3 linked regions of the Sus scrofa genome follow. The main gene of each other region encodes a partner of the protein of the gene in region 3 in a complex. Links are inferred from orthologs where the notes say so. Each region holds a gene or a part of one and is shown on either strand. Other genes may lie near its edges.

The links. Proteins that work in one complex are often made in the same cells at the same time.
Region 1: CHCHD3 (region 3) and APOO share a complex: the UniProt entries of both Homo sapiens proteins name them as parts of the mitochondrial contact site and cristae organizing system (MICOS) complex. The link is inferred for Sus scrofa from reciprocal best matches to the Homo sapiens genes CHCHD3 and APOO.
Region 2: CHCHD3 (region 3) and APOOL share a complex: the UniProt entries of both Homo sapiens proteins name them as parts of the mitochondrial contact site and cristae organizing system (MICOS) complex. The link is inferred for Sus scrofa from reciprocal best matches to the Homo sapiens genes CHCHD3 and APOOL.

The regions. Positions count from the first base shown.
Region 1 is NC_010461.5:20,011,713-20,021,833, reverse strand, and holds the start of APOO (MICOS complex subunit MIC26), read left to right. Parts: upstream 1-4,049; 5' UTR 4,050-4,301; coding exon 4,302-4,310; intron 4,311-10,121. UniProt on the Homo sapiens protein: Component of the MICOS complex, a large protein complex of the mitochondrial inner membrane that plays crucial roles in the maintenance of crista junctions, inner membrane architecture, and formation of contact sites to the outer membrane.
Region 2 is NC_010461.5:68,277,937-68,287,852, reverse strand, and holds the start of APOOL (MICOS complex subunit MIC27), read right to left. Parts: upstream 6,073-9,916; 5' UTR 5,942-6,072; coding exon 5,927-5,941; intron 1-5,926. UniProt on the Homo sapiens protein: Component of the MICOS complex, a large protein complex of the mitochondrial inner membrane that plays crucial roles in the maintenance of crista junctions, inner membrane architecture, and formation of contact sites to the outer membrane.
Region 3 is NC_010460.4:16,048,496-16,058,514, reverse strand, and holds the start of CHCHD3 (MICOS complex subunit MIC19), read right to left. Parts: upstream 5,877-10,019; 5' UTR 5,713-5,876; coding exon 5,632-5,712; intron 1-5,631. UniProt on the Homo sapiens protein: Component of the MICOS complex, a large protein complex of the mitochondrial inner membrane that plays crucial roles in the maintenance of crista junctions, inner membrane architecture, and formation of contact sites to the outer membrane.

The DNA of each region.
Region 1 (10,121 bases), on a different chromosome or scaffold from region 3:
ACCATGCCCTAAAAAAGGAAACTCCCTTCTCTGATCTTTGTTTGAACCAGGGTCTTCTCAGTCAGGTCAGAGTATTTTTCTACTTTTCATCATGTCCCAACACGGGCAGACTGTAGGGATCTCACTCTCCAAGAACTAGCCCCTTTGAACCCCATCATTACACCTCACATGGCTACATGCGAAGGGGGTAGGCACTCCTGTTTAATGCCACTGTTGACTCGCAAAATGCAGATGATAAGATGTTGAATAGAAAAGACCTCAAGTATGGAAACATACCCTTCGATACTAGCCAATGCCATTTATTAGCTGTTTAACCTTTTGCAAATCAATTACCTTCTCCTAGTTGCTGCTTGCTCACTTATGAAATGTAATAATAAGACTGCATCACAGGGTTGTGTCAGGATCAAAGAGATGTGTGTTAACATGCTTTGTTAGTTATGAAATACTATAATTATAATAATTATTCTTAAATTCAAAAGTAATTTTAAAACACACAAAACCCCTCTAATTTACAAAACAAGAAGTGTTTGATGTTAGCTGGGTAAATACTATATGGAAACTGTCCAGTTGTGGAAAATGATACAAGGTGAAAGACAGCTACTTACTGTTGTTTTCCCTTTGTCTTTACAGTATTTGACAAAGGTACTTTGGGACCTTTTCCCAAGGCTGGATTTTCTGATTTTGGAACACCAGTAACTGACGTCTTCATGGAACGACTCATTTTCCTTACAATGAAGTACTCTGAAAGTATATAAATTAAACATTTGAAGTCGTAATCTATATTATTACACTGTCTGGATGAGACTCAAGTGGCATACGATTATTGAGCTAATTCCAGAACCCTTGAAAAAGTAAGGTTTCATGGATCTCTTAATGTTGCTTACATTCTTTCTGTACTAAAAACAATATGATATATATATGGGAAAGACAAATGGATCTATCCATAGCCGCCTATGCGGTCTCCTCGTTTCCAGTCTTCAACCTCCTAGTCATCCTCTACTCGACAGCTGGAGTTAACTTTTTAGAGCAATAATCCAAACTTAAAATCTCAATTTAAAATCTTTTAGGGGAGTTCCCGTTGTGGTGCAGTGGTTAACGAATCCGACTAGGAACCATGAGGTTTTGGGTTCGATCCCTGCCCTTGCTCAGTGGGTTAACGATCCAGTGTTGCCATGAGCTGTGGTGTAGGTTGCAGACGCGGCTCGGATCCCACGTTGCTGTGGCTCTGACGTAGGCTGGCGGCTATAGCTCCGATTGGACCCCTAGCCTGGGAACCTCCATATGCCACAGGAGCGGCCCAAGAAATGGCAAAAAGACAAAAAAAAAATCTTTTAGGGACCCCCATTTCCTCCAAGCTAAAGTCTAGACTCCTTAGAAGTGCATTCAAGGAGTTCTCTTGTGGTGTAGTAGGTTAAGGATCTGGCATTTTCACTGCTTAGGTCACTGCCATGGTGTGGGTTCGAGCCCTAGCCTGGGAACATCCATATGCCAGGGACGAGGCCAAAAAAAGAGAAATGCATTTATGTCTTTTCACAATCTAGTTTCACTCTCTTTCAAATCTCAAAATACCAACTTTCCATCAGCATCCTTTCTATACCATCTGTGAGAACAAGAACTTACCAAAATTAATGTTTTGTAATTCTGTGCCGCTGATCATGACATTTTTTTCCACCTAGATTGACTTCCCTACCACCAGTAAACATCAATTCATCCTTTAGGACCCGAGGTAATTGATGCCTCTTCTTTGAAATTCTCCTCCTTCTATTTTTTACAGAACTACTCACTGGTGTCTCCAAGGTCCCATAATACTGTATGTGTTTTTCATTTACATTACCTCTCACATTGCATCAAAATTTTGTTTCTTGGCTGTCACCCCAACAAGCATGTTGAAGGCAGGAGGCATCCTGCTAACTATGAAATTCCCAATGCCTAGAAGAGTGGAGGGTTTTTACATGCTTTCTAAAAGCTTTTCATCCTAGTTTTATCACGGAACATCTGTGAGACTATGGGCAAGTCCCTTAATCTCTCAGTAGCTCAGTTCCTTGCCTAGTAAAGTGAGAGCATGTGTAGTAAGTGATCTGATTCCACCTCTGATTTTCTATCCTTTGATACATTACTCCAATTTGGAAGCAGTTTCCAATTCTTAGTAACTGCCTAGTGTCTTGTACTAAACCAGGGCCTCTTTATCTTTTCTTTTGGTGCTGTGGACCCCTATGGACAAACTCCTTCTAAGAACTATGTTTTTCGTTTAATTGAAGGATAGTTGATTTACATTGTTGTATTAATTTCTGCTGTACAACAAAGTGATTCAGTTATACACATATATGTGTACATACAGATACACACACACATATATATTCTTTTTCATATTCTTTTCCATTATGGTTTAACACGGGATATTGAATAAGAATTATGTTTTTTTAAACCCATAATCTAAAATATATAGGGTTACAAAAGACTTCAATTATATTGAAATCATTGTAAAAATATTTTCAAAAACAAAATTATAGAAATGTCTTCTTTATGCATTAAATAAAATAAAAAATGAGAGCTCTAATAATTACAGTACTTGTGAAGTGGTAATGAGCAGAAATGATATTTCAAGAAATCTGCTGTGACTATAATATGATATGAAAATATCTGTGCTTTCTACTGATGACAAAGTCATAGGTACCGCTGAACTACTGTGGTTACCTACACCACAATTTAAAGAACTGTTAAAGTTCAGTTATAGGTTAGTGAAAATAAAGTTGTAATTTTTCCCCAAGTTCATGTACCTCCAGAATTAAGAATTTCTGCCCTAACTTACCATTTATAAGTCACACTCTTATACACATATGACATTCCATTACTGATGCAGAGCCTTCAGAGTCTCCTAAATAGTTCTCCTTAGGTATAGGGAAGGCTAGGGATATACAATTCTCTTGAGAAAGAGAAAAGTAGCCCTTAACATCTGGGAGCTGGCCTGGCACCCACACCTGGGCTTTCGTGTTAGCCCTGGCTTCCTAGCACCACCCAATCCAGAACAAGGACTCGCTTCCCTGAACTCACCCGCAAACCCCCCAACCAAAGCCCCAAATCCTAGAATAAATCTAACACCCTCTTACTGAGATGCCCCACCGTTTCCCAAGGGTGCGTTCTCCTGGCACCAAAGAGAAATGAACTCAGCTTGTTCAACTACAGTATTCTTAGTGATCTTGGCTGGAGAGCAGTGACACCGCACCAAACTCCCAAAATCTTCTGGATGCCTGCCCCGGATGGGCTTACATTTGCTGCGGGATTAGAATGAAATACAGAATGAAACATGAAATACAACCCCGGTATGAGACACTACAACAGTTGTTTACTTGCGATCACAGGCTTTAAAGCCAGGCTACTGAGGTTTGAATCCTGGCTTCCCACTTTCCTTCTGTATGACCTTCCACATATTACTTCTCTGAGCCTCGGTTTCTTCATGTATTTGACGGGAGATAATAATCGTGCCCACCTACTTGGGTTGTTGGAAAGAAGAGTATGTGTAAGGAGTTTACATCAGAGCAAGTTACATAGTAAACGCTGTTGGTGGTTGCTATTCTTGTTAATAAGATAATTTTTGTCATTATTACTTATTTCTACTCTAATTAAAGGACAAACATTTGATTCCCTGTGAGAAACATACGCTTAAGCATTTTAAAGAAGAAAAAAATGTCGGGCTCTTTCAAGACTAAAGGACAAGGCAAATTAGTTTAAATTTAAAATCTTGGAAATGGCTAAACAAGGGTGAAAAAAAAAACCCCACAAAACTAAAAACCTTTTGTGAGGTAAATCCAGGCCCCCGAGGTCGGTAGCTTCCGGCTGCGAGGCTTTCGAAGCCACCAGAGGCCTGCCGAGCGCCCCCGCCCGGCGGCCTCCGCACACAGGCTTCCCAACCCACGCTGCTGGCGCCCAATCACGGCGGCGAAGGCCAATTCCCAGCACGGCTCTGCGCTCGGCGCCTCCCTCCTAGCGCCCCCGCGTGCCGCCCACACTGAGCTGGCGCTTTCCCGCCGCCTAGCAACCGCCGGCGCAGGGGCGGAGCCTCCGGAAGGCGGGGCTTGTGTTCGCCGCCTGAGGCGCGACGCGCTGCAGCTCAACGACGCTGCTAGCAGCCCAAGCTTCCGAGTTAAGCCTTAGCGGGATCGAATTGGCTGTACGCCTGTTACCCGCACCGCGGCCCGCTTGCGGTCGGAGGAATCGGGCCCTAATCGGCCGCCGTAGTTACCTCTCTATAGTGGGCGTGGCCGAGGCCGGGTGACCCCGCCGGAGCCGCCGCTGCCAGCGACATGTTCAAGGTGAGAGTGTCGAGCCGGGTCACAACTGTCACCGCCCCTTCCCGGCCGCCTGCAGCTCTCCCCGCGCTCTTTTGGGCCTCTCTGGGAACCAGAACTGGCTCGCTTTGAGGCTTTTCCCGCCTCCGGGCTGCCTGTGTCCCGGTCCCGAGGGTCATTCACCGGTCCGCCTGGAGTTTGCGGTTGAGGCACAGGAGGCGGGAGATTCGAGGGTGGTGGGTTGGGCCCTTTGGTCGTGCTCTCGGGAATAAAATGTTTTAAAAAGTTAAAGTATCCCTCACAGTATCCACACTCTGGCTGGTGCCCTCTTGAGTTCGTGAGTAGGGTTAGGCCAGCTTAGGGCACCGCGGGGTTCGGCTTTGGTTGTGCCGGGCAAGGTCAGGTTTTAGAACCTGGTATGAATGGGGGAGGTCACCTTCGGCGAAGCTCCTGCAGGAAGTCGGGGAGACTGGCATGGGAATGGAACGGCTGGGTTAGGGGAAGAAGCTGGACTTTCTCCTCCCCAGTGAACATTATATAGTATGGACAGGTCGAGCCCCTTCTTTACAGTTTTTGAACTCGTGTCCTTTGAAAGACTTTTACAGTGAAGACTGTTTCGAAAATCTGCATTTTAACATGAAGCCATTATTCTCCTTCAAAAAAAGTAAATGATATTTTTTATAATGAAGAACAAATCGCAAGCTACCAGAAATGAGTCTACAAAATTGAGTCAAGAAGCATTGTACCCATAAAAGACTGCTAATGAAATCTCAGAATTATACTACTCATTTAAAAGTGTTTTTTTTTTTTTTTTTTTTTTTTTTGCCTTTTTCCAGGGCCGCTCCTGTGGCATATGGAGGTTCCCAGGCGAGGGGTCTAATCAGAGCTGTAGCTGCCGGTCTACGCCATAGCCACAGCAACGGGACCTGAGCCGCGTCTGCGACCTACACCATAGCTCAGGGCAACTCAGGATCCTTAATCTACTGAGCAAGGCCAGGGATCGAACCTGAAACCTCATAGTTCCTAGTCGGATTCGTTTACCCCTGAGCCACGACGGGAACTCCTTAAAAGTTTTATTGAGTGCCTACAACGTGCTTTGGGTACACTGGGACAGGCTCTAAAGTCAGAATGTGGGTTTGGCCTTCCATTCCTGGAGTTGCCACGTTCTAGATGTGTGACCTTGAGCAAGTCACTTAACCTCTCTGAGCCTGTTTTTTTATTGGTGAAGTTAGGGAAACAACATTTACCTGTAGGCTTGTTATAAGGAATAAATAAGTTAGTATGTGTAAAGAATTTGTAAGAGGCCCTGGCACATAGAAGTGACATCCAGGTATTTGCTTTTATTTTGTTTTCAGGTAGCTCACAGTTTAGTTAGGACAACAGATCTCATAAGCAACTTGGTTTTGTTTGATAAATTTGTGTTGAATACCTATTATGTGCTAGGAGCCTGGCTTAGTTTGAGGGTTGCAACAACAAAGGGTACACTGTGTTGCGACAATAAAGAGTATGCTGTGATCATTTCATATGGTTATCAGCAGTGTTCTGTGGTGGTGAAAAGGAGAGTATCATCTCCTCTGTTTTACCAAGGGTTCTTAAGCTGTGGTTCTTGGCCCCTTAGAAGGTCTGGATAGAATTAAGAGGATCTTTAAATTCTGGCAGGGAAAAAAAAAATCAGTTTCATTAATCTGCTGAAATTTAGCATTTCTTTCAGTTATGAATGTAGGTTAACAGTTTCAATTACCAGTTTCCAGATAATGACCTTAAAACAACAGTGATTTATTACTTCTCACCATCTATAGGTTGTCTGGACAGTTCTGCCGGCATCCTCTAGTGACAGAATTCAACTGGTGGCTATACTATGAGGTAGCCTTACTCTCATATCAGTGGGCCTGGGGCCCCTCAATGTGGCTGTTTTGGGCTCCCTTACATGGTTACTGGGTTCTAAGAAGCCTAGTCCCGGTGCATAAACACATGCTTATATCGCATTTGCTGATGTCAAAACAAGTCACATGGCCAAGGCCCGAGTCAGTATGGTGTGAGGTTACAGAACAGCACAGATACGAGAACATGTGGTTCATGGGGAGCAATTAATTAAGTTACTACAGCCACAAACTAGTGGTAGTCACCAATAGAAGTCAGCAGGACCAATGCATGTCACAGACATTTTCATATCACATTACAGTGGTTCCAGATCTCAAGATATTTATGCTTATCACTGCTTTAAGATTATAGTAGTTATGGGACTTCCCGTCGTGGCGTAGTGGTAACAATCCGACTAGGAACCATGAGGTTGCTGGTTCGATCCCTGCCCTTGCTCAGTGGGTTAACGATCCGGCGTTGCCGTGAGCTGTGGTGTAGCTCGCAGACGCGGCTCGGATCCTGCGTTGCTGTGGCTCTGGCGTAGGCTGGTGGCTACAGCTCCAATTGGACCCCTAGCCTGGGAACCTCCATATGCCGCCGGAGCGGCCCAAGAAATGGCAAAAAGACAAAAAAAAAAAAAAAAAAAGAAAAAGAAAAAGATTATAGTAGTTATAAGACTCTCTAATAGGTTTTTTTAACTTAAAGAGCTAATAAAGAAGTACACATTACTATATCAGATTTGGGGTTTTAAAAACAACTATATTGCAATATAATTGGCATTTATAAAATGCAGTTAGAAGCATTATTTTGAGAAGGGGTCCCTAGGGCTTACCAGACTGCCAAAGAAGATGGTGGCACAAAAAAGGCAATGAACCCCTGGGGACTTCAGGTGAGGCAAGTTTTGAAAGCCAGGAGTTCCTCAGGTGGATGAGCCACGGAACAGCAGCAGTGGTACTCCATGGGGGAAGTGCTGGTAGATCAGTTCTTCTGTATCAAGGGAAAGATAAAGGGAGCTGAAATTGTTGAAACATGTACTTTGAGTCGAAAAGCTCACAGCAGACCTTGTTGGATACCAAAATTTAAGGAGGAGTATGAGGAAGAGGGGAGCCCAGAGATTTTGAGAAGCAACCTGATAAGTAGAAGTAGGAGCACCAGAGTGATGTTTAAACAATTAAGGGAGGGAAGTTTCAAGGGCAGGCTATGTTAGAATGCTCTCAGGTGGGAAAATCCAACTGCTTAAATAGTAAGGAATTTTTTTTCACAAAATGCAGAGGAAGGGTGGACTTTACTGGGTCAACATTGTTTTCAAGGTCCCCATCTCTTTTCTTGGCTTTCCACAGTTAGACTGGTTCTCCTTGTGGTTGTAAGATTGCCAGTAACACATGCTTTCCCATTCACTAGAGTAAGAGAGAGAATAAAACTCCCAGGCTTGAACTACAGTTTCCCTTCAATCTGATTGGACCAACTTAGGTCAGGTATTTGGCCCTGACCCAATAGCTAGTGCTAGGGGAATGCCATGCCCTGATGTGCCTAGACTAAGCAGAATCAGCCCAGGATGGGGTCAGTTTACCTTAATCAACTTGGAGAGAAATGATTCCTTGAGCACAATGGGGTAGTGGAGACTGGATGTGTAACAACAATGTCTATTAGGAAGGATGAGTTAGATGAGCTTGGAGAAGTGTTTGCTGATTTGGGCAATTTGGAAAGCTTTCATGATGGTAGTGAAAGCTAGATTAATATGGGTTGGTGACTGAAAGCTGAGTAAATGAGGTTTATAAGCTTGACTATCAACAGAAGGAGGGGGAATGTGGTAGCTAGAAGGACATGCTTGGTCAAGATTCTAAAGTCGTTTTGTGAGATTTGGCAATGCTTATGGCCTCTGGAGGAATGTGGGAAGGGAACTTTTATAAAAGAGACTCCCTTGGCTTTAAAAAAGGATATTCCCTTCTACTAATGAGATGGAAGGGAAGGAAGGGTGGGAGTGATTAAAGACTAATGGTCCTCAACTGGATGGTACCACCTGCCTCAGGTATGTCTTAGAAACTTGGGTGACTCTTCACATTTTTATTTGTGTTGAACATTTATTTATATATGGAAATATAATGCATATAAATCTTTCCTGTTTGTTGTCTGTTGTGTTACCATAAAATAAATATACTGTCTCTCTTTTTTTTTAGACTTACATGTGTAGGTAGGTGATGAATTTTGCTTCAAGATAATAAAACTTATTTATTTTATTTATTTTTTGTCTTTTTGCCTTTTCTAGGGCCGCTCCCGCGGCATATGGAGGTTCCCAGGCTAGGGGTCTAATCGGAGCTGTAGATGCCGGCTTACACCACAGCCACAGCAATGAGGGATCCGAGCCGCGTCTGCGACCTACACCACAGCTCACGGCAACGCTGGATCGTTAACCCACTGAGCAAGGGCAGGGCTCGAACCAGCAACCTCATGGTTCCCAGTCGGATTCGTTAACCACTGTACCACAACGGGAACTCCAGCAAGACTTATTTAAAAAATTATTTGTCTAGTTTTCTACACACTGCAGCAAGCAAGAAAGAAAATTACTTGTCATAAAATGGCATTGTTAGGTCTTATAGGTGAGAACCAGTGCTTCACAGACTTTTTTTTTCTTCATTTTTGCTTTTTATGGCTGCACTTGGAGCTTATGGAAGTTCTCAGGCTGGGGGTTGAATTGGAGCTGCAGCTGCCGGCCTACACCACAGCTCATAGCAATGCTGGATCCTTAACCCACTGAGCGAGACCAGGGATCAAACCCGCATCTTCATGGATACTAGTGAGATTTGTAACCTACTGAGCTGGAACTCCTTCACAGACTTTAATGTGGATGTGACTCTTGTTGAAATGCAGATTCTGATCTAGTAGGTCTGGGTAGGGGCCTCAGAGTCTCCTTTTTTTTTTTTTTTTTTTTTTTGTCTTTTTAGGGCTGCACCCACGGCATAGGGAGGTTCCCAGGCTAGGGATAGAATCGGAGCTACCGCTGCCTACGCCAGAGCCACATCAACGCCAGATCTGAGCCATGTCTGCGACCTTGACTGCAGCTCACAGTAATACCGGATCCTTAACCCACTGAGCGAGGCCAGGGATGGAACCCAAGTCTTCATGGATGCTAGTCAGGTTCATTAACCACTGAGCCACAACAGGAACTCCAGAGTTTCCATTTTTTAACAAGCTCCTGAGTGATATAGATGCTGCTCATCTCCTAGCATACTTTGAATAGCAAGAACTGAGGCAAATTAGTAGATAGATGGTTTGTGTTTTTGAGGTGAGTGGTATCATGAGCTTGGTAGGATTTGGAAGAGACATTGACCAGAGAACAGAAGATATGTGAGAAGTTCCTATTGTGGCTCAGCAATAATGAATCCAACTGGTATCCATGAAGGTGCAGATTTGATCCCTGGTCTCCCTCAGTGGGTTAAGGATCTGGCATTGCCTTGAGCTGCAGCATAGGTCACAGGTGTGGCTCAGATCCTGAGTTTCTTTGGCTGTGGTATAGGCCGGCAGCTACAGCTCCGATTTGACCCCTAGCCTGGGAACTTCCATATGCTGTGGGTGCAGTCCTAAAAAAAAAAAAAAAGGCTTATCATTTTGTATACACTACACTACACTTGTATACACTACAAGAAGATAGGTGAGAGGCTTTGAGGGCTCTGCTGAGAGCTATTACCTGTGATCTATCATGACTGCAGCCTGGGAGTGGGGATGAGCAAATGGTAGGGTTTGAGAGTTACCAGCTTGGGTCAACTAGGACCGGAAGGCAAAAGAGTTGATAGTATAGGTATTGGTGAAAAAAGTACAGTGTGCGAGGCTAGTTTTGTACATATACAATAAAATATTTAAACTCTAACCATCATTTTGATTTAGCAGTCCATCTTCAAATCAGTAGGGGGCACTGGTGGATTACAAAATACATTTGAAAAGCTGCCCTGTATTTGGATTCTATTGCAGGAAGTAACT
Region 2 (9,916 bases), on a different chromosome or scaffold from region 3:
GGGTACTTGGCAGTGGTTAGTGACTAGTCAACCCAATCAGATCCTCTCTCTAGGAAAGTCTGGATGTGAAACATAACATTAGCAGAAGCAGAACAGCCATGAGAATGGTAAATACCTGAGTTGCTATGGTATCCTGAATGGTTCTTCTGGAGATTTGTTTAGCTGGTGAGATAATTTCCTAGGTTTTATTCCTTATCTATATATCTTTCCATTAAACTACTACTTGAAGATAACTTGAACCTGCCTGTTCTTCATCAACTGAAAATGCCTAATACTCTTTTCTCTATAACTTGTATAAAAGACTGGTTCTTGAACCCAACAACACATCTAAATCACTGGTGGGCTTTTAAAACATTAAAAGGCCCCATCTGAGGTGGGGCTCAGGCATTTTTAAGCTTCCCAGATGATCCTAATGCACAGCTAAAACTAAGAAATACTGACTCACATGAGCCTATTGTGTAAAAATTTTAGGGTCCACGTCAAGTAATCTTTTATTTCCATATTAAATGAGGTTCACAGAACACCTAATAGCCATATGTGAGGATGGCATCTCAGGGAAGAGTTAGTTCAGTCATATGGGTGTGGGAGGAGGCAAAGTACAGATCATTTTCACTTTATGGCATAAAGCAACATCCTGGAACTTATATCAAGTATGTTTAAGGGTTCCAAAGCAATAATTTTCAAAGTTACACTGAAAATGAACTTCACTTTGTTACGTTCCAACTATTTTCTGGTATCAATTACATGAAACAAAGTAGAGGAAAGAGACAAGGACTAAAGTTGACACAAAAGAATATATGGCTGGTATTATCAAGGATCCTGAAACCTTTAGGTCTATGTTGTCCATGTTCCTTCCCATCCCCATCACCCTTGGCTCCAGCCCCAAAACACAATTCTTGAGTCACCTATCATCTCTAATCCCTACAGTGCTCTGCATTTTCTCTCCACTAACCAAACTTCCTTCTACTCCCCCAAACTCCAAATGCCCCTGCATTGTGTCTACTCTCTTTGCTCCTTGCTGAAATGAAATATGACTGTCCTTTGAGGTACAACCACTTTGGAAAACTATCTGGCAGTAGCTACCAAAGCTGCATGCCCTATGACCTGGCGATCCCACTCCTAGGTGTACACTCAACAGTAATATGCACAATGTGTTCAAAAAGGCATACACAAGAATGTTCATAAAAGCATAATTTGTTAATAGCTCAAATTGAAAATAATTGAAATGTCCATAAATAGTTGAATGGATAAATAAATCATGATATATTCATCTTACAGAATATCATACAGCAATAAGAATGGATGAACTAATATACATGCATAACGGCTAAATCTCATAAACATAATACTGGGCAAAAGAAACCAGGCGTAACAGAGTAAATAAGTTCCTATTGTGGCTCAGTGGGTTACAAACCTGACTAGTATTCATGAGGATGAGGGTTCAATCCCTGGCCTCACTCAGTGGGTTAAGGATCCAGCGATGGCATGAGCTGTAGTGCAGCTCCAAAATTCCACCCCTAGCCTGGAAAATTCCATATGCTGCAGATAAGGCCCTAATAAGCCAAAAAAAAAAAAAAAAAAGAGAGAAAGAAAGAAAGCTGCGTAGTCCACTTACATAAAGTTCAAAAACAGGCAAAATTAATCTACAGTGAAGGAGGAAAAAAGGGGAGATCTGGGCTACTGGTAATGTTCTTTTTCGGAGGTGGTTCTGGTTGAACAAGTATGACCATTTTTTGAAAACTTACCAAACTGTTTATGATTTGTGTACCTTATCATATGTATGCTACACTTCAACAGAAAAAATAGAAAAAAGGAAAGAAAAGTAAGTCTTCTTTGAGGCTCATCTACTCATCCTTAGCACCTGCCTCCTGGTTACTTCATCACATAAAAGATTTAAGATTCTGGTTAATGGTCTTCTTCTATACCCTAAATTCTGCCATAACTCTGAGTGACTTTAATGTCCATGTGGGCAAATCACTCAAAAGCCTCACCTGACTGTTCTTTGACCTCACTTTCTTAGACCTTCGTATTCACTCCACTGTGGTTAACCACTCCATCAGTACACCCAGAATTTACCATTCCCCAGAACTTGTTAATAGCTAAAATCCTAAACTCAACAAACTTTTCTCTGAATACAATCCCCTATTCCAGGTTTGATTTCCTTACTGCTCTACTACTGTTCTTTGAACTAATAAAATTACCTACCATAGAAAACTTTTTGAGAATTAAATGAAATAATATTCATCAACAGTGTAGTACAGTGTCTGACACAAAGGAAATACTCAATACATGATAGCCATATTTCAATATTAAGCATTCTATTATAAACAGGTATCTTTCAGAACCCAAATTTTTCTCATATTCAATCAATCTCTGGCATTAATGAAATTTGGCTTTCAACACTACTACAGTCCTCCAGCCATTCTCTCTGATTCAAGAAGTCAGGAGGAGATGGGTTCCATGGTGTAGTATGATGACCACACTCGCCTAAGAAGAAGTCAGGAGGATAAATCAGTACAGTTCTCGTTCTCAAGGCTAATTCCAAATCAGTGTTTCACAATCACATCCGCTCAAAAAGCTCTTATATTTCAAAATATATGTAAACTATTTTCAGAGTTATTTTCCAACATTCAGGACTCCTCTCTAACTTAATCCTTGTTATTAAAACTCTGGGGCTTCAAAATTACCACAGATCACCCTTTTTTATACCTCCGCCTCACAGATGCATCCTCAAGCTTAAGCCTCGTGACCTGGACTCATATGGTGGGATTTCAGATCCAGCTCTACCACTTACAACTGTGTGACTGTGGGAAAATTACTCAACCTTTTAAAGCTTCAGTTTCTTTATCTGTAAAATGCTGGTAATAATAGCACTTACTCATAGGGACACTATGAAGCATAAATGCAAAAATTCACAAATGTTTAGCAAAATACCTAGAACAGGAAATGTTCAATAGCATAAAACAGCTGTGATCACTATTATTAATTCTTTCTTCTATACTAGTTCTTGGCACATTTCCCCTTGTCTCCAAACCTGCTCAGGTCTCTTGACATTTTTTCCCCCAGTTTTACTGAGATTTATTTGGCACACAGTCTTCTACTTTTTAAAACAATAAGACACCTTTTCTGGAATTTGCTACCTCATCTCAAGATTTCTTTCCTACCTCTCACCACAACATTTCTCTGAAGACTAATGAGTAAGACTAAGGAGGTCTTCTCTGAAGACCTCCCTTTCAGAGGCAAGGAGCAGTGGAAAGATCAGGGACTTTGAAGAGAAATATACCTGTGTTCGAACCTTGTTTTTCAAGTTAGTAGCTGTATAACCTGGAGCAAGCATTTTTTTCCCTAAGTTTTTCATGTATAAAATGGGGATACTAGAGTTCCCGTCGTGGCGCAGTGGTTAACAAATCCGACTAGGAACCATGAGGTTGTGGGTTTGATCCCTGCCCTTGCTCAGTGGGTTAATGATCCAGCGTTGCCGTGAGCTGTGGTGTAGGTTGCAGACGCAGCTCGGATCCTGCGTTGCTGTGGCTCTGGCATAGGCTGGTGGCTACAGCTCCGATTAGACCCCTAGCCTGGGAGCCTCCATATGCCGCGGGAGCGGCCCAAGAAATGCCAAAAAGACAAAAAAAAAAAAAAAATGGGGATACTACTGACTTTTCTAAACCTTAGTTTTTCATCTGCAAAATGGTGATGATAATATCTACAACATAAAGTTGTCTTGAGAATTAAGCGAAATAACACATGCAAAGTATTTTAGCATGATGCCTGGCTTTGTAGTAAGCACTTAATAAATGGCAGCTACCAGTGACTTATTAATGGCCAAATCAAAAGACTGTTCAACTTTCTCCTTCTCTAGGCTTCAGTGACAACACACTATTCAGGTTTGCTTTTTAACCACTGACCCGTCCTTTTCTCTCTGTACTTCCTTCATGATCTCTTTTTCTTTTCAACCAGGTGTGAGCTCTCTCTTCAGAACCTTCAGGTCACTTTGTACTTCTCCTGAGGCAGGCACTTCCCCTACTCTGAATCACATTTGTTGTATGATGCACCTTCACTGCTTAATTTAATCTCTTTTATCTTCATTACCTGGCATTTATGTACTAATACAAGAGTTAATATATTACAATCACTGTCCTCAAGTACCTTACAGTTTAAAAGGGTAGAACTGACAAGTAAATACTCTTATTATTTGCAGTGTGGTAAGTCCTATGGCAAAAGTGTACCCAGGTCCTCTGGGAGCACAAAAAGGAGTTATTTAAATTAGACTGGGGAGGTCTGGGACACTATCCTGGAAAAGGCATTTTGTATTTAGCATATGAGAAGGCAGCACACAAATCCTTGCTAAGTGAATGAATGAAATATGAGTAGGAACTAACTAGATGAGGATGGGATAGATACTTCAGGCTCAGAGAAAGGACATGAAAAAGGTTTGGAGTACAGATGTTGGAAGATATCCTGAGAGACAGAAAATGAAGCTGGAAAGCCAGGCAGGGTAGGCTGTCCTAGACAAAGCAGTCTGACCTGACCCCGGAGGGCAGATAACAGGGTGCCAATAAAGGTCTTTAAGCAGTAGAAGGGCATAATCAGATTTGCATTTTAGTACTCTGGCAGTGCAGAGGAAAATAAATGCCATGAAAGCCAGGCTAGAGGCAGCAATCCAGTTAGAAGGGTGTTGTGATAATTCAGCTAAATTCTGAAAACAGAAATGGATTGAGAATGGTGAATCGAGACAGATACTAAGCCTGAATTATTTATATTTGTATCTCCTGCAAGCACAGTGCATTCTATACTTAAAACCTGGTACAAATATCTACTCATAGATACTCATCTACTCATTGATATTTGTCGACTACTTTTTAAAAAATTTTTTTTAATTTATTTTTTATTTTTATTTATTTTTTAATTTATTTTTTATTTTTTATTGGTATTTCCCCCAACATGTTTTTTCCCCCACTGTACAGCATGGGGACCAGTTGCACATACATGTATACATATTTTTTTCTCCCATTGTCGTGCTCTGTTTTAAGTACCTAGACATAGTTCTCAGTGCTACACAGCAGGATCTCATTGTTAATCCATTCCAAAAGCAACAGTTTGCATCATTAACCCCAAGCTCCCAATCCCTCCCCGCCCAACCACAAGTCTACTAGAGACTCTCATACTGAGCGAAGTAAGTCATAAAGAGAAAGACAAATACCATATGATGTCACTTAGATCTGGTATCTAATATATAGCACAAATGAACCTTTCCACAGAAAAGAAAATCATGGACTAGAAGAGTAGACTTGTGTCCACTACAGCTAATGAAATCTACTTAGGGAACTGCAGCTAGCAGCCGGTTGAGTCATTTCCTGCACAGAGATTCCGAAGTAAAGGCACCTTTTCCCATTATGGAACTCAAAAGAAACTTAGGTTTGTTATTCAAACTCGGAGAATAACAACAGTGAATACAAACCCGCTCAACACAGAGACTTGGGATGTCTCTATCCTGGTCTCTTTCACCCTAAATAATAACGTTTGAACAAAGTCCTTCAAAGGGTCGTGAGGCCCCGCCCTGTGCACCCAGACAACTGCCCGGGATTCCTTTCTCTTTGTTTCAGTTCAAACCCAAGTCTCCTCTGCTCGTTGCCCCGGCCGGCCATTTTCACTCAGCCGTTTGGCAGTTTTCACTCTGCCGCAGTATAAACGGTCGACCGCAGAGAATTGAGGAGAGAGTATCGTCCCAGGCTGAGGAAACTAAAGCGGAGAGGCAGGTGTCTTGAGGCTTCAAACGTTAAAGAGTCCCCGACCTCGCCAATTCTCTCACAACCCCACTTCCACCTCACCTCTAGCTGTGGAGCTCCCTTCTGAAATTAGGAGGATCACTTCTATAGTTACTGAAGTACTCTTGGAACCCAGAAAAACTAAGGTACCTTTTACTTACCCTAAAGGCCGCCATATCTGTGACCCTCTCCGCCCAGGTCTTCACACGGAGAGCGGAAAGGAACAAAACAGTTCAACTAGGCTCTACGCACGACTGCACCTCCCAGTCCCATGCCTCGCTGGTCGGCTCCGCCTTTTCTCCGCCCATTTCCCCAGCTCTCCGGTGCGGCTCTGGGAAGCTACTGCAGCTCACCAGCTCCCTTCCGGAGAAAAGGTTCAACCATGTGGTTGATTGTCGCTATTCTTGGTAACGCCGTTAATATTCTCCACAGTCCACTTGAACGTTACTTTGCTGGGTGGAGAACTTTTCATTATATTCGTTGTTTTAGGCATAAGTGATTTGTCTAGATGAGGACTTAAAATCCAAGTCCAACTATCTTAAATAGTGGTTTAGTCATGAAAAGAACCTGTTACCTCTGCAATACATGGGCAAGTTCATACAGCCTAAGACTGTATCACTAAGCATTTACTATATGCCAGGCACTTGTTCAAAGTAAAGTACATAACGTGGTATCTTCCCTCGCGGAGTTTAAGCTTCCAGGAGGAAGAGAAACAAGTAAACGTTGCAAAGTGCCAAATGCTGTGAAGAAAAATAAAACAGTATGGGATGGGGTGGGAATTTACTGGTTTAGATAGGTTAGGGAAAGGCTGTCTCATAACTTGACATTTGAGAAAAGTCCTGAAGGAATTTAGGGAAGAAGGTCCTACACAGGAGGAACAGCAATAATAATAATAATAAAAAGGCCAGTGTGTCAGGATGGCATTAATTTAACATGAGAGGAAAAGTTTGTGCAACTTCTTAAATTTACCTTAAGGCATATGATAAATCTAAAGGACTTTTGGTGGCCACACTAAAAAAAGTCCCTTTACTTCTCATGGCAAAAAAAAGCTGAGATTTTTAAAAGCCAAACTCAAAGTTTGATTCTTTGGATTTCTAAAATTATTTCAGTTGAATTTATACCTAACCTTGATGGGTCGTTTATGTGAAAATTTAAAGCTTTGAGCAAGAAAGGGTGATAGTCTAATATTTGAATGGGGCTATCTGGGAGGATCTAGAGGCCTAAGAGAATTCAAAATCCCTACACCTTTCTGTCTGAACTACTCTTTATTTCTGATACCATCCTCTGTATTGGTCAGCATTTTTTATTGCAAGCAATAATATCCAGTTGTGGATAATATAAACAAAAATGGAACTTATTAGAGATAAATAACAGAATCAAAAGAAAATCTAAATAACCATCCCTTTAAAAAGACAGCAAACAAGATAGCAAGAGGAACCTAGATAGAAGAAACTAATTGGAAATCAGTTTCAGGCCTCACTGTCTAAAAGTGTGTGTTCTAACAATTTTCAATTTTGTGCAATCTTCTTATATCCATCATAAGTATTAGTTGTAAGCAATAGTTGTTAGCAGTTTTAGCTAAATTAAATATAAAATAATTTGGGAAGATATTAGGCAATTAACCAAATTAAGAGAAAGTCCAAAGACAGGATCAGAAATGTGAGCAGGAATCAGTGAAGGCTAAGATGCAGGCAACACAGCTAAGGTTGCTACACAGGATAGCTATGCATATTTCAGTTATTCCTTCAAGATTCAAAGTCCCATATGAAAGCCTCCCACTGGACAAGCCTAAATATATGCCCATGTCAAAGTGTTGAGAGAGGAAATAGCTGATATTTTCTTTTCTTGGGGAGGTTGGGAGGTAGGGTATGCCTCCTACAAAAACTCAAAGAATCAAGGATTCCACCCAATGGTAGGGGGTTAGGTCTTAGTAATGAAAAAGAAGGAAGGAAAAAAGGAGGGAGGGAAGGAGGGCAGGAAGGAAGCAGAAACAAAGAAGAAAAAGGAAAAAAGAAAAAAGAACCAACCAACCAAACCCCCCAATAATGTCTACTACACTGCTCAAAATTTAAATTCCACAGAAAGAGTGCCTGATTGGTCCATCTTGGATTATGTGTTCACCTATTAACTAGGGATGGTAGGTATTTTAAATAGATAATTCTAAAATCATTAATTGACAGCATTTGATAGAGGTGAGGTAGTTCCCTATAGATAATATATGGTGCTTCAAAATAATACATATACAGAACTTAATCAGATAAAAGTAGGTTAGAGAAGACAGGCAGTTTTAAACTCATCTTAGATAAATATTTCAAGGGAGAAGTCCAAGTAACTGAGTGTAGGCTACTCTAATTGAGTGATTTTTTTTTCAACTGCCAAGTAATGGAAGAAACAGTTACAAGGTTTCTAAAGTCAAGAATAAGGCTGTATCAGTCATTGTTGTATAACACATTACTCCAAAACTTATTGGATTAAAAACATAGACATTTTTTTATTTCAAAGGTTCTGTGGTTCAGGTATTTGAGCATGACTTAGCTGAGTCCTCTGCTTCAGGGTCTCTCACGTGGCTGCAATCAAGTTGTTGGCCAGGGCTGTTGTCATACCTGAAGGCTATACTGAAGAAAGGTCCACTTCCAAGTTCACTTATGTGATTGTAGGCAAGATTCAGTGCTTTGTGGATTGTTGGATTGAAGACCTCAGTTCATCATTGACTGTTGGCCAGAGGACCTCTCTAGGTTACTTGATCTATATACCTCTTCATAGAAAACCATCAAAGCAAGTAAGAAGACAAGAGTGTGTCAGCAAGAAAGAGACAGTCTAGAAAGAGGCAGCTTAATCACTTATATAAGTGACATACTGCCACAGTCTATTCTTACAAGTGAGTCACTTGTTCCAGCCCACATTCAAAGGGAGGGGATTATAAAGTGTTTGACTACCAGGAGGCAAATCATTTGGGGCCATTTCAGAAGTCTGTCTACCATAAAGACATTCTTTGTCTATGACTAAGGCTATGTGATAGGAGAGTAGCATAAAAAATAATTGCATGACTCCCAACCATTTAGGGAAAAGTCTACAAGGATCACTGTCAGAATCAGTGATTTGTCAGACCAGTTTGAAAAAGTCTTAAACAGTGAGTAACTAGGATGTCATTAACCAACCCACCAATTTAGATGGTCTATAGTTGGGTGGGTCTATAGCACCACATGCTTTCACGTCAACAGGGGAGCCCTGGGATGCAAGGTGAAAAGAGCATAGCATGAGCATGAGGTGAGGGACCATCAGATTGACCCAGAGTGAATTCAATGGGAATCCATTTACAGCTGTTTTTTGCCTTAGTGAAACTGGCCATGGGACAGAAGACAGGAGCGGAATTGCTAGATAATACTGCATGCCTTTTTTCAACTTTAGTAGATGCAGTCAAAAATTTTTCCATAGGGATTGTACCAATTTACACTTTCACCAGTAGTGTTTGAAGATTTCAGTTGCTCAACACCTTCATCAACAATTGGCATTGTCATTTTTTATTTTAACCATTCAGGTGGATGTTTAGTAGTATCTCATTCAAGTTTAATTTTCATTTCCCTCATGTCTAATGAAATTGATCACCATTTCATATTTCAACTGGCTATTTTGATGTTATCTTTCATAAAGTGCTTATCCAAGTTTTTTGCCAACTTCTCTATTGTGTTGTCCATTTTTCTAATTTATTTATAGCTATTCTTTATAAGACTTTCTACAAGCACTTTGCAGTTATACGTGTTATTAATATCTTCTCTCACACTATGATGTGTCTTTTTATCTCTTTAATGGTGTCCAGAAACCAACCCTACTGCACCTTGATCTGGGACTTCTAGCCTCCAGAATTATTAGAAAATATATTTCTGTTGTTTCAGCCAGCAGGTCTATGATATTTGGTTGTGGCAGCCTAAACAGACTGATACATTTTCCTCTTTATATATCTCAATTTCATTTGCTAATATTTCTTTAGGATTTTTTTACATCTATGTCCATGATGGTTATTGGTTTGTAATTTTCTTTTAAGATTTTGGTATTAATGTTTTATTGGCCTCATAAAACAAATTGGGAAGAGTTTCCTCTTTATTTTTTGGAAGAGTTTGTTTAAAATTGGCATTATTTCTTCCTTAAATGTC
Region 3 (10,019 bases):
CGTAAGAATCCTTACTACCACACTGGCTCCTGCGAATTTCGGCTTGCAACTTCAAGGGCAGTTGCAAAGATTAGTTTATGCCTGGAAAGCATGATAAATATTACTTTGAAAATGCTACTTATTGAAGTTGACATTTGCTCTGGAAGAGTTCACTCACAGCTTTGATGTTTCAGATAAACTTGTGAAAGACTGAGAGCAAGGCACACTCGCTAAGCAGACACAGCAGGTGCTCAGAAAAAGCCTATTAAGCACATGTAATACGAGTCATCAAAATGCTTGGTCTTTCTATCACAAGAAACTTATTTTACACTTGGAGAGGAGGGCAGGGCAAGAGCATGGCCTTTGATCCAACCCATGGAATCAGAGTCAAAGTTGGAATCAGGTGTTAGAATGCAGGTTATTTTGTGGAAAGGGGAGAGCTGTCAATAGCTAAGGATAAAGGAGGGAGGGACACCAAGCATCATCATAAAACTGCTCCCTCCTTTGTCTCCTTGGGGGAGGAGCTTTGTAAAGGAACAAATAATTCATTTATCCCATTCTAATTTTTCACAGTCTAAGGTAGCGCTTTGGTGTCCAGAGTCTGCTGAAAATGCAAATCCCAATTTCTGATGAGGTAGAACTGGGTGTGGCCCAAGGATCCATCTTTCTAGTGAGCAAAGATGGAAGGAGGCAGCCCAGCTTCATTCCCACCAGTCCAATGTGTCACTAATTTCTGGCAACAGATTTGCATGGTGGAGAGGCATTTCCCAGTGAGAATTTCAGGTCAGGGTGGGTAAGATATTTTGAGCAGAAAGGCCTTGTTTTTTTCTTTCCTCCTGCTATCATAAAGGTCATTCTTGGGTGTAGATTTATAGAGATTTTAAAGCAAAGGTCTTTTAAATATTCTTCTCTTAAAGAATAGATCTTTTTTTAAAAAAGAACAAAAACAAAACCTTGGGTTTGCTATCAACTTATTAAATAATGATCTCTCTCTTTTTGATCATCAAATATATATGCATTACATACATGAAATAAACAGTATTGGAGTTCATCCTTTCTTTTAATCTGGCTTTTTTCCCCACTGCTCCAAAAGATGTATCTTCAGGAGTATTGTAGAGTTTTTAAAGACATACTTTCTTTACTAATGCCCTAAAAAATATATTCTGAAATATTTGAACATTTTTCTATATATTTTCATGTAGTTTATCCCAATAATATTCAACATGAAAAAGCGGAAAGCTCTAATGATTAAAAAATATAGATAGTGGAGAAAATAAAGGATTAAGATTTTTATTTTTTCTATTATAGTTGATTTAGAGTGTTCTGTCAAATTCTATTACATAGCAAAGCGACAGTCATACACATAAATATATATATATACTCTTTTTCTCACATTATCCTCCATCATGTTCTATCACAAGTGATTAAATATAGTTCCTTGTGCTATACAGCAGGATCTCATTGCTTATAAGGATTAATTCTTAATGCTAATAGAAATTTGAACATAAAGCATTCTGGACTGTTAGACATCATACAAAGGCTGAAGAGACCCACCCCAAGGAGAGTTAACAGTTGACAAGGAAAAATGTAATATCATAAATAAATTAAGCTACAACAAAAAAAAAGGAGGGGGGACAGCAGTCCCCTTATAAATGACACCTGGTAAGTGAGAAGAAACTTTAAACTTAAAAGTGTAAGTAGGTCCTTTAATTGCTACCTGTTTGAGGACCTGGGCCAAAAACATCAGAAAACATGATCTATTAATAAACACAACCTAGTTACTTAAAGCCTTATGTTGCTTACTAAATGTCACTCTTCATATATTAACATAAATGAAGATGAAATTATTATCCTTATCAGTGGAAGACAAAATTGATTTTCCAGCAGTGACTGAATCTACCGCATTGCTGGCACACGCTTACTCTTATGAGTGACGGCATGAATGTTAGACAACTGGGTAAATCTGGAACACTTTCCTCAGCCAAGTTCAACAAACCTATCTGCAATTCAACACCGAAATCGGGCCTCAACAGCACGGTGATTCAATCAACTGAGCTAAAAACTGTGGCTCACTTATGATACTAAGATTGCTTCTTATCCTTCCCCAAGCTACAAGAGAAACAAGAGGACTTTTTTGACCTAAGAAAAATATAAAGGTCAGCTTAAAAACATCTGCAAAGGAGTTCCCGTCGTGGCGCAGTGGTTAACGAATCCGACTAGGAACCATGAGGTTGCAGGTTCCGTCCCTGCCCTTGCTCAGTGGGTTAACGATCCGGCGTTGCCGTGAGCTGTGGTGTAGGTTGCAGACTCGGCTTGGATCCCGCGTTGCTGTGGCTCTGACGTAGGCTGGTGGCTGCAGCTCCGATTCAACCCCTAGCCTGGGAACCTCCATATGCCGCAGGAGCCGCCCAAGAAATAGCAAAAAAGACCAAAAAAAAAAAAAAAAAATCTGCAAAGTACACAGACAAAAAAAAAAGTCACACAGGCAATCGTTTGCAGAACTCAGGGCTCCCCTTCCCCAGTCCACACCCCCTTAGGTACACATGTAGGAACACAATATGCTCTTATTTTTATTATTTTCAGTTCATGTAAGGTTAGGTATCTATCCCCTTGACCAGCTCCAATAACAGCTACTACTCATTTAAGTACTAATCACTGTGGAAATGCTTACATAGCAAGTCCTCACAAGCGGTACTTGATACAAAAGTATCAAAAGTTTGTTGCATTATCCACATATCCAACAGGGAAACACAATGAAAGTGACTTGTCCCAGGCCACAAGCTAGTGAGAGGCAAAGCTAGGGTCAAACTAAGGTCTGCCTGGCTCCAAAGTTCATGCTCTTTCCACCACAGTACACAGCACATCCAAAGAATCTTAGAACATCAGGTGTGGGAGGAATTCCATCATATTAATAACAGCTGCCTTTTGTTAAAACTCAATGTGGAGTTCCTGTTGTGGCTCAGCGTGTTAAGAAGCTGACATGGTCTCTGTAAGGATGCAGGTTCGATCCCTGGCCTTGCTCAGTGGGTTAAGGATCCGCCATTGCCACAAGCTGCAGCAAAGGTCTCAGATGTGGCTCAAAGCCGCTATTGGTGTGGTTGTGGCATAGGCCTCAGCTACAGCTGATTCAACCCCTAGCACAGAGTTTCCATATGCTACAGATGCAGCCATTAAAAAAAAGGGAGGACGGGAGGGAGGAAGGGAGGAGGGAGAAAAAGAAAAAAAAAATCTCCAAGTGCCAAGTGCTTTAAATACCTTACTTCATCTTACCACAATCAAGAGAAGAGATGACATTCCCCTTTGGGATAAGGAAATATAACCAAAGAAGTGCAGGCTAGTTAAATGCCTAATGTGAGATTTAACTGAGTTCTGTTTAACTCTAAATTGATGTTCTTTTGACCATGACCTCAAAGAAATCAGAATGACCCCTGAGTACTCAACAATTCAAGAGCATGTTATTTTTAGGGGAAAGTGCAAGAGGCTGAGTGTGGCTACAAGAAACTTAAGAGTGCCACCAGACTGACAGAATTTCAGAAGTGGAAGAGATCAGAGCTCTCAGAGATAGACTCAAACCCTTTGCAGGTAAGAAGACTGAAGCTCAGAGATTGAAAATCATCCTTGAAAAAGGATCTGAAGCAACAGGGAAAACGATGCAAGGGCATTCCAGGTGAAAGGTATAACTGAAGAAGAGCAAAGCATGGAGGTCAAAATCAGCATGGTGTGTGCCTGAATTTCAAAAATATAAAATGTGTTCTATGAGAAAGAAAAACCACCAAGTTCGGTGGCCAAAGCTTCTTTTCTTTTTAAAAAAATTTTTTAAGTTTTTTAAAAGGGGTTTTGAGCCAATCGCTTTTTTTTGGGGGGGGGGGTCTTTTTAGGGCCACACCCGCAGCATATGGAGGTTCCCAGGCTACGAGTCTAATTGGAGCTGTAGCCACCGGCCTCCGCCAGAGCCACAGCAATGCCAGATCCGAGCCACATCTGCGACCTACACCACAGCTCATGGCAACACCAGATCCTTAACCCACTGAGCAAGGCCAGGGATCAAACCCGCAACCTCATGGTTCCTAGTTGGATTTGTTTCTGGTGCGCCATGACGGGAACTCCCAATCTCTTCATTTAATCTATTATCAACCCTTTTTCGCACTTATCTTATTTAACTTTATCTAATACCTGATATAAATCTCTGTGCTGTGGCCCATATCTCTTTTAGTTTGCTGTCATCACTGTGCCTGTACTAGAGCAATGAGAACATGGATTTCCACATTTTTCTAGTCAATGTCTTCTCACCCAAAATTTATTTTTCTTTTATCTTTTATTTCTTTTCCACCCTCTGGTGTGGAACTTTCAAAGCCTAAAAGCAAGATTAAACAAATCTCTGCACAAACCAAGAATTTACAGAAATGTTTATTTTACTCCAAAGAGTACCAACTAAACCACACAACACAAAGAATGCAGTCTCAGATATTCTACTACAAGCCATGGTACCACCCATCATCAATTAATATAAGAAAATGCTGGTCAAAGACCAAAAATTGAGTTCAAAAGCCTGAGTTTCTAGAAAAAACTTAAATTCTTCTCAAGTTAACAGTTCCAAAGTAAGAAGTTTTTTAACACCTTAAATATTTAAGAAGTTTTAATTCCTAGTAACCAATGCAAAAAATAATTTACTCATTTACTTATGCGAGATGTGTAATACCAGAGGGAAAAAAAAACAGAAAACAGTATAAAACTTCCTTAAGTCAAATTGCTTTATTTACAAGGCTCAGGTATCCTACTTCCAAAAATGTGACGCTCCCAATTCTGGCGCTGCGGAAGCCCGTGTTAATGAAGTTAGTGCTGGTATACTGACATCCTAGAGAAAAATCAAGTTTTCAGTTTATGGATCAGGCATACGCAAGGGCATTTAAAAATGTTCTCCAATGTCTCAGTGAGACCTGACTGTACTACTTCTAGTGGTATGGAAACTTGCAATCCTATCTCAAGTCCTATCGGGCTGGCGGACGCTACTCTTGAAGCAACTGGGCCCAGTCCAAAACTTAGGCATGGCAGGCTAACAGAGAAGGCGCCTGGGAAAGACAAGATGTCAAGTGCAAGGAGGGAGAAACCAGAATTCACCCAAGCCAGGGCAGAAAATCTAAGGTGTGTGTTAAGGGACTGAGTGCCGTCCCCCGTCAGTGGGAGTACTAAATGAGAGACAGCAGTTGAAGGGTTCATTAAAACGCCAATTCAACCACAGAGAAGTGATGTGGGCAATGCAAAAGCAGGGTGTGTGTCCTGAACCCAGGAGAAGTAAGACAAGCCCCATTTCACAGATGAGTACAGTAAGGCAGGGGTTCAAATAAAGTTCCACAACTACTAAGCAATACAGTCTAGACTGGACTCTGAGCCCCTGGAGGGTCTAGGTCAATCTAGCATCCCCCCAGCCGCTCCAGCACAGTGCCCAGCACTTGGCACACAACGAGGAAATATCTCTGAATGAATGTCCCAAGTCTTGAAAAACTTCAAACTTCTTCGCAAGCAACTCGGCTTCGGGCATGAAAAGACTAGGGATGCCAGACGGGGAAAACCAGGCTGAGCGGGACCCAAAGAAGGCAGAGGTAAGGGGTCCGAGTCCAAGGGCCGGCCCTCCGCCCGCCCACTGTCACTCACCCGGATGCCCTTCACCACGGTGATGTTCTCATTCTCGTCCGCCTCGAAGGTGACCCGACGAGTGCTAGCCGTCCCGCCCATAGCTTCTGCTTCTGCCCCCAGAGAGACCTAGCGCGGACCCACGAACTCTAAAGGTCCCACGCGCACACACGCGCGTGGACGCGCCCGGACTCTCGCCTTGCACAGCGGGAGCAAGGCCACGACCCCAAGAAGCAAGGAGAAGGCGCCGGTCCTGAGCTCCCGCCTCCTCCGGTCACGCGCCAAAACAAAAATGCCTCTTATTGGCCGAAAATACAAACGGCCCGCCTCTACTGGACAAGGACTCTCGGATTGGTTGGTGCAGACCCGGATGCTATGGCAACAGGTGGTGTTCGACAGATTTCCGGAGCCCCTGGCTATAGTGGGAATTGTAGTCTCCATCTGGCGCGATGGGTGCTGGGATTTTCTCGCCTTTATTCGGTGAGCGCCGTAAGAACATGGCTTTCTGGGAGTTGTGGTCTTGCCGCAGAAGAGACATCTAACTTAGCAACTTACAAGGAAGTTTAAGAAAGCACACTTTGAAGGTAGTATTCTAGGAGTTGAAAGATACAACCTCGTTCCTAAAGGAACTCACAGTTCCTTAAGGGAGGTGCACTCTCCTAATGCAACCATTCCTAGATCCCTGTGAACAAATCCCTGAGGCAAAGTGTAGTCTTTATTTTAGTTTTGCAAGTAACCACAGAACAAAACGCCGTTGTATTTGGCCTATAGCTTTATTTCGTGAGCTATGCATTTTTTTCTTTTTCGTAAAATAAAATTTTAAATACTATGGTTTTCAAATCTCCATGTGAGAAAGCAGAAAAAATTAATTATTTGCATGCAATGCATTCACTTTTCTGTGTCTCCTTCCACTTCGATTACATTAGCTTATATTAGACCGTAAGAGGAGGAGGTAGAGGAAAGTGATTGACAAATACAGCATTAATTAGTGGAGGAATTGAAACTACAACAAAGTTGAGGAGTTTTATTTCTAGGTCAGTATTTCACCTCTACAAGTTACATAAATAATGCTTAAATTATCTACATATGTATTTTCAAAATTTTATTGCTAAATACTCTCTGACATGTAAGTTTACCCATATGACCTTAGTCTTACAGAGGCATATGTACTCTCTTTAGGATTTACGTTAGCGATGATATTATCCTCAGAGAGTCCTTTTCAACATTAAAGGCAGCCAGCCACAAAACAGCATGGCAAAGGTATACACAAAAATGTATTAACATTTTTGAACTCCAATTATTTGCTGATTTTTTCCTGTAGAAATTTGTAGGGCACAGACTATGTCTTTTTCACCTCTAACTCTGGTCAGTGGCAGAGTATTGAATTTATTACTTCCCACTATTACTATTATTACTATTATTAATACTTAGTAATTACTATTATTAATACTTCCCACTGGGCCACGATGGAAACTCCTAACTGCAATTTTTATAACGTCAAGTTCAATCAAAACTCCTGGTCTTCCTGAAGCACAGCTGTGTCTTGTTTCCCAGGTTCTAGGGCATCTTACCAAGGAATCGTCCTATTCATGTGAGACCTACTCCAGTATATACAAGAACACAACAGAATATTCTCTGCAGTCTCAGGCCAAGAAGCCAGCACTCTAAGTAAAAACATTGGATGTCAATGGTCTACTTGGATGTAGAGTGGAGAACTGAGCAGTGGTTTAATTCTTCACCAATCCTAGCTTAGGCATCAAGCAATATCACCTTCCAATTCCTTCATCCTGAGTGACTTCTCATCTTCCCACCATGTCACATCTTTTGGAATTAAAGCTGCAAATAAATAATGCTTTTTGTTTTCTCCCCCCCCCCCCACCGCATCATAGGGAAGTTCCCAGGCCAGGGATTAGATCTGAGGCATAGTTTCGACTTATGCTGAGGCTGGGGCAGCACCAGATCCTTAAACCACTGTGCTGGGCCAGAGATCGAACTTGTGTTCCAGAGCTCTAAGACACTGCCAATCCCATTGCACCACAGCGGGAGCTCAAACAAACATGCTCTTGCTGTCAAAATTTCAATCATTCCTAATGCCCATTCTTTAAAAAAAAGAAAGAAAAAAAAAAAAAACCTAGACATCCAAATCACCCTCACAAATGAATTGCCAAAAGAAGGTTTCTGATTTTTCAATCCCAACTTTTTTTTTTTGCTTTTTAGGGCCACACCTGCACCATATGGAGGTTCCCAGGCTAGGGGTCCAATCGGAGCTACAGCTGCAGGCCTACACCATAGCCACAGCAACACAAGATCTGAGCCATATCTGTAGTCTACAGCACAGCTCAAGGCAACGCCAGATCCTTAACCCACTGAGCAAGGCCAGGGATCAAGCCCGTGACCTAGGGTTCCTAGTCAGATTCGTTTCTGCTGCACCACGATGGGACCTCCTCAATTCCAACATTAAACAAAAAGTTGCAAAAGGCAAAATTCTGGTGATGCCTCTTCCACTACTTTTCTTGACCCTCCCTAACATACTGGTTGGGCTTGAAGGAAGAGATGGGTGAGAGAGGGTAAAAACAAAAGCACAGGGAGGAGAAACCTGTTCCTGGGCTCCAGCTAGAAAAACTAATCAGCATGTTGTTCCTGGTAGCTCTTGCTCAGCTCTTCTGAGTAGCATTTCAGCCACACAGTACCGTTCTCAGAGTCTGTGTAGAAATAGAATATAAATATAATGATCATGTTTTCTGAGCTGCAAATGGAGCTCATGCTCTGTTATTTGTATATTTAGACAATTAAATCGGTCCTTGAAATCAGAAACATCCTAGAAAATCTAGGACATATAGTTGCCATAGTTATAAGCGAACCAATTAAAATCTCTGAAGAGGGCTTCTTATGTAGTACCATCAATATAAGGACATTCTAAAGATATGGACTAAAACATACTTGACAAACTGTAATAGGACATCAACCCTAAAGCCTTCCCCAATTTTTATTGTATATAGAATCATAGAAAACCAACACCACCCTAAAACAGTAGTCCTCAGTGTGAATGTCTGTGTGTGTGTGTGTGTGTGTGTGTGTGTGTGCGCGCGCGCGCGCGTGCATTGCTGGGATGGGGGCTGGGCATGCATGAATGCACTTATGTGATATATTCGAAAACAAGAATTTTGGACTGCACCCTTGAAGAGATTAAAAAACCCAACATAGCAGGAAACAAGTCAGCAATAATTACAAGGCATTATAACAAGTACGGTATGACAATGAGCCTCTGTATCTTTGAAAGTATCCACAGCAAAGCTGCAAATCCCATCGCCTCCCTTTTACCTCCCATCACTGCTCAGGGAAAACTCATGGCTGCACTACCCATGCATCTAGTAAAATCCTGAGGCTTAATAGTAGCCTTTACTGCTAATTCCTTGTCTACAATAAGTTGTGGGGTTTGGGTTTTTTTTTTTTTCCCTGTTTTGTTTTGGTTTTTTGTCTTTTTGTCTTTTCTAGGGCCGCTACCGCAGCATATGGAGGTTCCCAGGCTAGGGGTCGAATTGGAGCTGTAGCCACCGGCCTACACCACAGCCACAGCAACGCGGGATCCGAGCCGCGTCTGCAACCTACACCACAGCTCACGGCAACGCCGGATCCTTAACCCACTGAGCAAGGGCAGGGACGGAACCTGCAACCTCATGGTTCCTAGTCGGGTTCGTTAACCACTGCACCACAATGGGAACTTCCACAATAAGTTGTATAGGCTGTGCCACATTGTGTCACAGGGTGGACTCTGATGAGCAATCTGCTTAACACATAGTTAAAATAAATTTTATACGTGGGCTACGCATCAAGAAGATCCCTTGGTACCTCTGGCACAAAGATGATTCCAGAGCAAAGTCTCGACAAATTTATAATAGGTTTCCAAAAGGCCATTCTCTGCCATTTCCTAGACATTCTTCTGTTACATTTTTTTCATTTTTATGTTTTTTTTCTCCTCATTATACACTCATCAGAATAAAGTGGCTGAAATATTGAGGGTGGTACCTGGGGCATGGAAGGAGGGATGCCAGGGAGTGAGAGGTCAACCCAACCAAGCCCCAGTCTTGTCTACTTTCAAGCCCTGCAAGGACGCCAGGGCTCTTCGATTGCCTTTGTGTTGGGTTTGGAGTGATCATCTTTGACAAACAGAGCCCAAGTCAGAAGAGGCTCATTTCTCCTCTCTAACCCTTAGACAGGCGCAAACATCCCCATCTCTCATCTCTCCCGAATGGCTCCTCTGGCCTTGATGAATTTTCAAACCATTTTTATTTGAGAGCACAGGGACAGTCTCCTAACCCTTCAGCAATATCTACCTGCCATGGATCTTGAGAGATTTCTGAAATGCAGGCTGTTAGCCTCTTTACTTCTGAATAACAAATGCTCGAAAT